Linked DNA regions of Rattus norvegicus. The protein of the gene in region 1 purifies or fractionates together with the protein of each later gene. This does not show direct contact. Links are inferred from orthologs where the notes say so. Each region holds a gene or a part of one and is shown on either strand. Other genes may lie near its edges.

The links. The genes of interacting proteins can lie anywhere in the genome.
Region 2: the proteins of Itpr1 (region 1) and Erlin2 purify together in Homo sapiens (affinity purification with western blotting, with the first as the bait; 4 studies listed by BioGRID). This does not show direct contact. The link is inferred for Rattus norvegicus from reciprocal best matches to the Homo sapiens genes ITPR1 and ERLIN2.

What each region holds. Positions count from the first base shown.
Region 1 is NC_086022.1:142,742,150-142,746,342, reverse strand, and holds the start of Itpr1 (inositol 1,4,5-trisphosphate receptor type 1), read right to left. Parts: upstream 2,904-4,193; 5' UTR 2,752-2,903; intron 1,903-2,751; 5' UTR 1,833-1,902; intron 1-1,832. UniProt on the Homo sapiens protein: Inositol 1,4,5-trisphosphate-gated calcium channel that, upon inositol 1,4,5-trisphosphate binding, mediates calcium release from the endoplasmic reticulum (ER).
Region 2 is NC_086034.1:71,729,908-71,733,555, forward strand, and holds part of Erlin2 (erlin-2), read right to left. Parts: intron 3,284-3,648; coding exon 3,202-3,283; intron 1,859-3,201; coding exon 1,812-1,858; intron 1,409-1,811; coding exon 1,347-1,408; intron 1,232-1,346; coding exon 1,106-1,231; intron 1-1,105. UniProt on the Homo sapiens protein: Component of the ERLIN1/ERLIN2 complex which mediates the endoplasmic reticulum-associated degradation (ERAD) of inositol 1,4,5-trisphosphate receptors (IP3Rs) such as ITPR1.

The DNA.
Region 1 (4,193 bases):
AATTGATGTAGTCAAGGAGCAAATTATACGTTCAATGTATACTCATAACATGCATACATCCACATGACTGAAGAAGAAATGGAGAAGAAAAACACTGCATACAACTAGCAACCAGGCAAACCAGAGACCACAGGACAAGCTACCAACATTCCACAGGTTGAACTGAAGCAGTTTAAGATTTCCAATTATTCAGCTAGAGACACACCTGACTCTTTCAACCTGCTCAGGTGCCTTGATGGGAATGACCAAAAGCTACTCCAACTATGAGCCAGGACTAACACTGCACGTAGACACTGGGTTTCCTCTGGTTTTCCTTCTTAACTGTCCTGATTCAAGCTTTCAAAACACACACACACACACACACACACACACACACACACACACACACACACACACACACACAGAGCTTTTCTAACATGAATTCAGCCCAACATTAAATCCTCCTACAAATAACTACATTCTTTTATCCCTGCCAAGGGCTGTATCATTTCCTTCTTACATCAAACTAAATAGCTGGTACATTGTTGGTGAGACATAAATCAGAGTTAAGGCATTAAGAGCAATGGGTTCACTATTTTTCCTAGCATCTCTCTCTCTCTCTCCCCATAAACTTAAGCACAAGTGGTACACATTACTGCCTGGGCTGCCCAGTGACTTCATTCTGAATCTCGGTTTCTTCACCCGTATCTAAGGTCTTCTGTGATATACAGCTTTGCACCTGGCTTGCTCTAACCTAATGGGACAGCCTCATTATTTTTAGGCAAAAGATAGAGAAGAGTCTGTGGACCAGTTAACGGTGTCTGTAGCATACTTCAAAGAGAAGACTGACCCCTCTTTGATCAACACAGACATTAGTCCATAGGAGAACTAGCCTTCCCATCCAAATGTTTCCCACTCCACCAGTACTCCTGAGGACCTTATCAACAGGAAACAAAAGCACTGTGCTACCATAATGAAGTATCTGGCTTTCATTCACTAATTAGAAAAGCCCAAAGATTGTAGCCCAGGGAACAGCTAAATATTTAGGACATTAAAGAAGTTACCAAGGACCAGCTGCCCACAGCTCCCCACTCCTATTAACCTGTTGTTTACTCAATTACCAGACATTTTAGAAGAAAAAACTTGATAGACAAACCTGAAACCATAGGGGCGTCTGTGTACCTACAGAGAGAGGCTTTATTTTCTAGGAATGGGCTGTGATAAATGTCATTATATTGACAGAAACACTGCCCTCAGCCCCTCATCCGGGAACAGGTACCAAAGCAAGAGAAGCACGCTGGGTTCCTTGATATGCAGGTGGCTCCTGTGAAATCCTGGAAGCTACAGTGGTATTCTTTAAGCTCTTACTTCCTGTTAAGTTCTCATTCTTTCAATTTGTCGCTTTCATTTCTTGCAACCCAGCCCACTCTGGTTACGTGGTGAAAGCCCACGACAGAACAGAACCAAGTGACAGTTTGTGAAAGGGAGGAGTATCTCACTTTTGCTTAGGGATCTTGGCAAACGAAAAGTTCTGCATCTTTGGGAGTCTAAATAATGAGGGTGCCTTTCAGGCTGGTAAGGGACCACCCACTTTACAATCTACCGCAATTTACTGCTTGTTGCTGTTGCTTACCCACCACCCCTTTACCCCCATGCTTCGATTCTAAGCAACCTTCAAAAGTAGCTGTCACTGGATCTTTACTCAAGACCATGACCAATTTTGACCACAGTTTCTTTCTCTTCCCTACTCTACCTCTATGTACGTTACAAGCGGAGTTACAAAATGCTTAGGACAAAACAAACAAACAAACAAACAAACATTCTTGACTACAGAACTCAGCTCCCACACTCACCTGACCCAGGTCAGGCACTCTGTAGCCAATGGACTCCCAGCCAAGGATGCAAATCCTTTGTAGTCAGCTCCTAAATATTTACAAAGAAAGAAGACTGAGTATGGGATCTTGCGACGGTCTATCAGAATGTTCCCAAAGACAGGTTTCGACTTTTTTAGTCTCCGTTCGCTTTTCCTGCAGATCCCACTCCCCACCTCCAAATTTAGCAGTCAAGTTGGAGGGATCTCTTGCCCCCAGATAAAAGCAACCCCAGCATGCTTATTTCCCGTCCGGAGCTGACCAGAAAGATCAGGCACGCAGAAACTTCGAATACGATGGGGGGGTGGGGGGAAGAGACTGTGGACGAAAGGAAGTGTTGAGATCCCAAAGCACTTGTTTCCCCGCGTGGAGGCCAAGTATGTGAAACCCGCGTCCTCATTGGGCACGAGCTCCGTCCACACTTCTCTCATCGCTCCCGCCCCTGCTTCCTCCGGTTTTCTTCCTTTTTTTTTAAACCCACGGGGGCCCCCACGCATGCATTATCCTACCAGCCAAGCAGCGCAACAGGGCTAGCTACATTTTTAGAAAGATTATTTCCTTGAGCAAACTCATATGACACCCCCTCAAATACCCCCCCAGGGGGGAAAACTATTTCCTGCAAACACTCCAGCCGTTTCCAACTTGGGGGAATGCCATTTCAGTACGGGGAAGGAGGTTGAAGCCGGTCACTAGAGTCGAGGACATTTGGGGTTACTTAAGCCTGAAAAAAAAAATCAGACCGCCTCCCAAAACTGCTCGCAGGGAAAGAAGCCCCAAAATACACGCCAAGTGCATAAGTGCATGCAAAGCCACCAAGAACTCCCAGTGATCAGGGCAAAAACTTCAGCGCACGGGAGCCAGTGCCAACTCCCCGAGCCCTCTGCCCGGCCCCAGCAGCTACCTTGGTGACCGGGGAGCCACGCCGGTTTGAGGGATCAGGACCAGGACAGGGGTTAGCAGCCGCTGGGCAATCCCATGTCCGCGAAGAGGGAGCTCGTTCCGTTAGGATGGGAGCGGAACACCCACACCTCCTCTCGGCGTGCGCTTTCTCTCTCTCCACCCCCTGCCTCCACCTCCTCCACCACCACCTCCTCCTCCTCTCCTCCCACCCCGGCAGGCTTGAGGAAACGCTTCAGCAGAACATCCACATGGTTACTGCACTTTGAAGCAGCTCCCGGCCGCTTATATAGGCCCGGAAGCTCCCTGGGCAATGTAGTCCGATTCCCAGGTCCTGCCGGCGCCTGGGGCTGCGCAGAAGGACTACAAGTCCCAGAATGCCCTGGGCTCTGGGGCTGGGTTCTAAATAGACTCCCGCGCACTGACCAGGGTCGGGGGAGGGGCGCCGAGCGGGAAGGCTGGGGCTGCGAACCTGTGTCTAAGCAGCGAACTCCCCAGGTTTGGCAAGCCCGATCCACAGGGTGTCCCTTACCCCTGTGAACCCTTCTCTTTTGACTGTCCCTTTTCTAAAGTCAGGTGTCACTAGGGGCCAGAGAGAGAGGAAGAGCTCGGATTACTACTTTGGGAAGTTTTTACAAGCTGTTTACCCACCCCCGCGCGTCCTGTGTCCTGGAGCCAAGAATTTCAGAAATCCGAGGCACAAAAACGCCAGTGTTTTGCGGTCAAGGATTAAAGAAGCAAGTTTGTCTTTATTAAATCTGTTCCAGTTCTTTATTGGATCCTGCTAGTGTCTGCATGAAAAGTCTGGCAATGAGGTGGTCCCTGCTATCGAGGATGCGGGGTAATCGTGTGAAAGCCCTTTTCTGAATCCGAGCTGTGTCTGTCTTTCGTCGCCCGGTGGGAGGTAAAAGGAACGCAACCCTTTCGAGTGAGCAAATAAAGGAACCATGTTGTGACTTGGCTGATGTTGTGATCGCGAAGCAGGAAAGAAATACAAACCGCGACCTGGTCCTGACCCCGCTTCTAGGACCCCTTTGCTCCTGGAATCTGTAAATGCTCAAGTAAATAAACCGCAAACCAGAAAAATAAGGGCTTCAGAGAAAGCGGCTATACTAAGATGTGTGCGTCCAGGCGAGGTGTGCTGCAAGTCTTCAACCCAAGCCTCTGGGCTGAAATGGGTTTCAACACACCACAAATAAGTGTAGGCTCCAGCCTGCAAAGTGCTTAGAACTTTGGCTTTTGAAAGAAGAGTTTGAATCGCAGGCAAAGTTATCCCACTGTCTCCCTCCGCATCCCACCTCCCACCCCCCACCCCGCCCAAACCAGACTGCAAGTATTCATTCCACAAACGTTCCCCGGTGTCATCTGGGTGCCAGGCCAGGCATGGTGCCAGGATATGAGAGTGCGCCAAAGTATATCATAACATCCTAAATGGGGTCTGTCTGC
Region 2 (3,648 bases), on another chromosome or scaffold:
GACGTGCTCCCACCAGGCTAACCCGATGCCTGTTACTGAGGCATTTCCTTGATCACGATTGACGTGGGAGGCCCAGACCACAGTGCAGCATGCCACCCCTGAGCACGTGGTCCTGGGCTCTATAAAATGCACAGATCGAAGCGCGAAAAGCAGGCCAGGAAGCAGTACTCTCCCCGGTCTCTACTTCAGTTTCTGCCTCCAGGTTCCTGCTCTGACTTCCCTTAAAGATAGACCTTGATGTGGAAGTCTAAGAACCTACACTTCTTTCCTCACTTCTAGAACTAAGCAGGCACCTCCATTCTCAGCACACAACACTGGATTCCCTGCACTCAGTGGGAGGAACACTTAAGTGACAGGGCAGGAGAGTAGGAAGGCGTCTGGTTGCAGCTCTGCCGTTTACTTGCAACAGCTCTCTTGTTTTTCTTGCTCTTGGCCCCAGTGGGGGACTGTGACTTGTCTTACTGTGCCGAATTTAATTGATGTCTCTGGGAGGGAGGCCTACTCTTCTCTCGGCAGAGACTCATTGGAGAGTGGGATCTAGGGGAGAGGGTAAGAAGGGGTGGGACTGGGAGGAGTGGAAGGGGAAGCTATGGATGGGATGTATTGTATGAGAGAAGAGAAAATTTAAAAAAAGAGTATGTTAGGCTAAAAGCCTTGTAAGATTCGTCTAGAAACCATTACAGAATATTCCAGGGCAGTGAGGACACTTCTGTTCTAGTCCACTGTGCAGGCCAGCAGTAGCTGCTATATCCACTCTTCCTCCAGTGCTTATGTGTGACTACTCCAAGAGTCTTCCCGTGGTTCTTAACTTCTTTTATTTTTTGGGGGGTGGGGGTGGGGGTGGGGGTGTATTTATTTAGAACACGTCTTACTTTGTAGCCCAGGCTGGCCTTCAACTTGCTTTCCTCCTGCCTCAGCCTCCTGAATGCTGGGATCACAGGTATAGACAACTATGCTGGGTTGTTCTTGACATTATCTGGAACCCTCTTGGTGGCTGGCTGCTGTGCCCCCGTTCTGTGGTGTGGTGACTCAGAAGCACACAGACAGAGGGCTGCCGAAGCCTGATTCGCCTCAGGGAGAGGAGGGAATGGCACCACATTCTTACCAAACAGCTCGATATAGACTTCCTGAAGTGTATGGACGCTGCAGAACTGGTTAAGCTCATGATGAATCTTGTTGAAGATGAGGGCCTTGTCATAGTCTGCAGTATAGTTCTTCACTATATCATACACTGTGGAGAAGGAGAGGGCTCAGCATAAGAAAAGCCGAGTCTTCACACTTCTCAGAACCTTCTCAGTTCTCGTGGGACCCAGACATATGGTGTGTGGACACGTGACAAGACATACCTGCATGTGGGACCAGGAAGTTCACCACTTCAATTCTGTCAAAGTAGATCATCACACCACCACTATTGGAGGGAGAAGCGACAAAGATGTTACCAGGGCGCTGGAATCTGGTGAACTCTCCTAAGGAGATGACTTAAGACATGTGAGTGAACAGGAGGAGGACAGTGTTTGTGGAATGTGAGGCGGCTCATGCCTCTGAGCAGGTGTGCAGGACTTCTGACCTGCACGAGGAAACAGTAAGACCTCTGCAATGTCAGGAAAGCAAGGGTAGTTCCTATCTTCTGAGCCACTAGTATCTTCTGACAAAGCAAATGATAAGTTTTCAGAGTGCACTGGGTGCCTGAAGCTTGTCTCTCATCCGGGCTTCACTCCAGTCTGCTTTTCCCTCACATTGTCTCTCACTGTGGCCACCAGTCTCTCCTCGCTTACCGGCTACGGTTCACCATCCTTATTCTGGTACTTTACCTGGTTCCGCATGGTACGTTCTTCACTTCATCCGTTTGGAGAGTGGTCTGGAGACAGAGGAAACAACTAATGTAAAATGGGCAGCGACAAGGGGGCCCCCTACTATTTGGAAGGCCCAAAGCTTCTGTCATCATAACTGGTGGCTTGATCAGATTGAGCTTTGCTCTTGCTAAACATGACTACTGTCCCAACTAGTACCCTATACAGGCTGTAACCTGAAACCAAGCAAAAGTGACTACGCCTGTGTCACTGTATGTGAAGCACATATGGACGGGCAGGATCATTAAAAACAAAATAAAGACAGTGTGGAGCCTGAAGGGCGTACTTTACTAGTGCTGAAGCAGGAGGCTCCTTTAGAGCTGTTTCAGAATGTAGTACCTGGTCAGCATCTCTGTGAGACTCAGGTAAGAAAAAGCTACCCAAAGTACTGTGAAGTCCACACAGCAAGGCAAAGGGAAGAAACTCGCAAGGGAAGATGAGTGTTCTGCTGGGTTAACTCAATTTTCTCTCTTTCACTCTTTTGTGCTGGGAATTGAGCTCAGGGCCTGGTGTAAGCTAGCGTCTACCTCTGTGTGACATTTCCCAGTCCCTTGCTGGGTTGCCTTAAAAGTTTCTTAGTTGGATACACTTTTTATATATAATTTATTTGTATTATTATTTACACCGCTGTTTCGCCTGCACATGTAAGAGAATACGATGATCAGCTAGAACAGGCGTCACAGACATCAATGAGCTGTGAGCTGCCTTGTGGATGTGGGAATTGAACCAGGCTCCTCTGGAAGAGCAGACAGTGTTCTTCACCGCTGAGCCATCTCTCCAGCCCCATCTTAGCTGGATATACTTTAGTCTACCTCAGTCAGGAGGAGGTCGGCTACAACTTATCTTACTCTAATTTACATGGCATTGGCCCTTACCCAACCAACTTTCCTCCCCATGAAATTATATTTACAGTTTTGAATTTCAAACAAGTACAAGCAAAATTCCATGTTTTATTTCGGTCATGGTAACCTGTGATTTAATATGCACACCCACTTGACTTTATTTCTAAAAATTCATAGAAAAAAATTCTTTTTTAGCCCCACCTCAAAAGTGAGTAATTTCCACTTGGGGCTGACAAAGTGAGGCAATGGGTTCATTCAGCATTTCAATGATCAAGTGATATGGTGTAGGAGCCTCTGTCTCTCTGTCTGTCTCTCTGTCTGTCTCTGTCTCTCTGTCTCTCTCTCTCTCTGTGTGTGTGTGTGTGAGAGAGAGAGAGAGAGAGAGAGAGAGAGAGAGAGGCCTTAAGTCAGTCACTGAAAAGGCATTATGTCTAACTAACCTCACATTGTGCATTAGTCAACAACCCAGATTTGTAATGATCCAGCCATACCACACAAGCCACTTGTACCTGTACAGACTTGTAGGATGTGATGAACGGGAGCATGAGATGGAAACCTGGGCCACTGGTGGAGGTCAGCAGGGCACCACCTCTGTAGAGGAGGGAGAAAGGCAAGAAAGGCAGGTTCAGAATTTCAAGAGAGGGCCATTAGACCAGTCGTTCTCAAACTGTGGGTCGCAACCCCTTTGGGGCCAAACAACTCTTTCACAGGGGTCACTTAAGACAGAGACATTTACATTACACTTCATAACAGTTGCAAGATTTGCAGATATAAGGTAGTAAGGAACATAACTGTATGGTTGGGCTCATCACAACACGGGAAACTATTAAAGGGTCACAGCATTAGGAGGGTTGAGAGCCACTGCCTACAACAAGACTTATGGACCGCCCATCTCCATTCCTATAAAGATTTATGGTAGAATGACATGTTTACCCTTCCCCCTCTCTTCTGTCTCA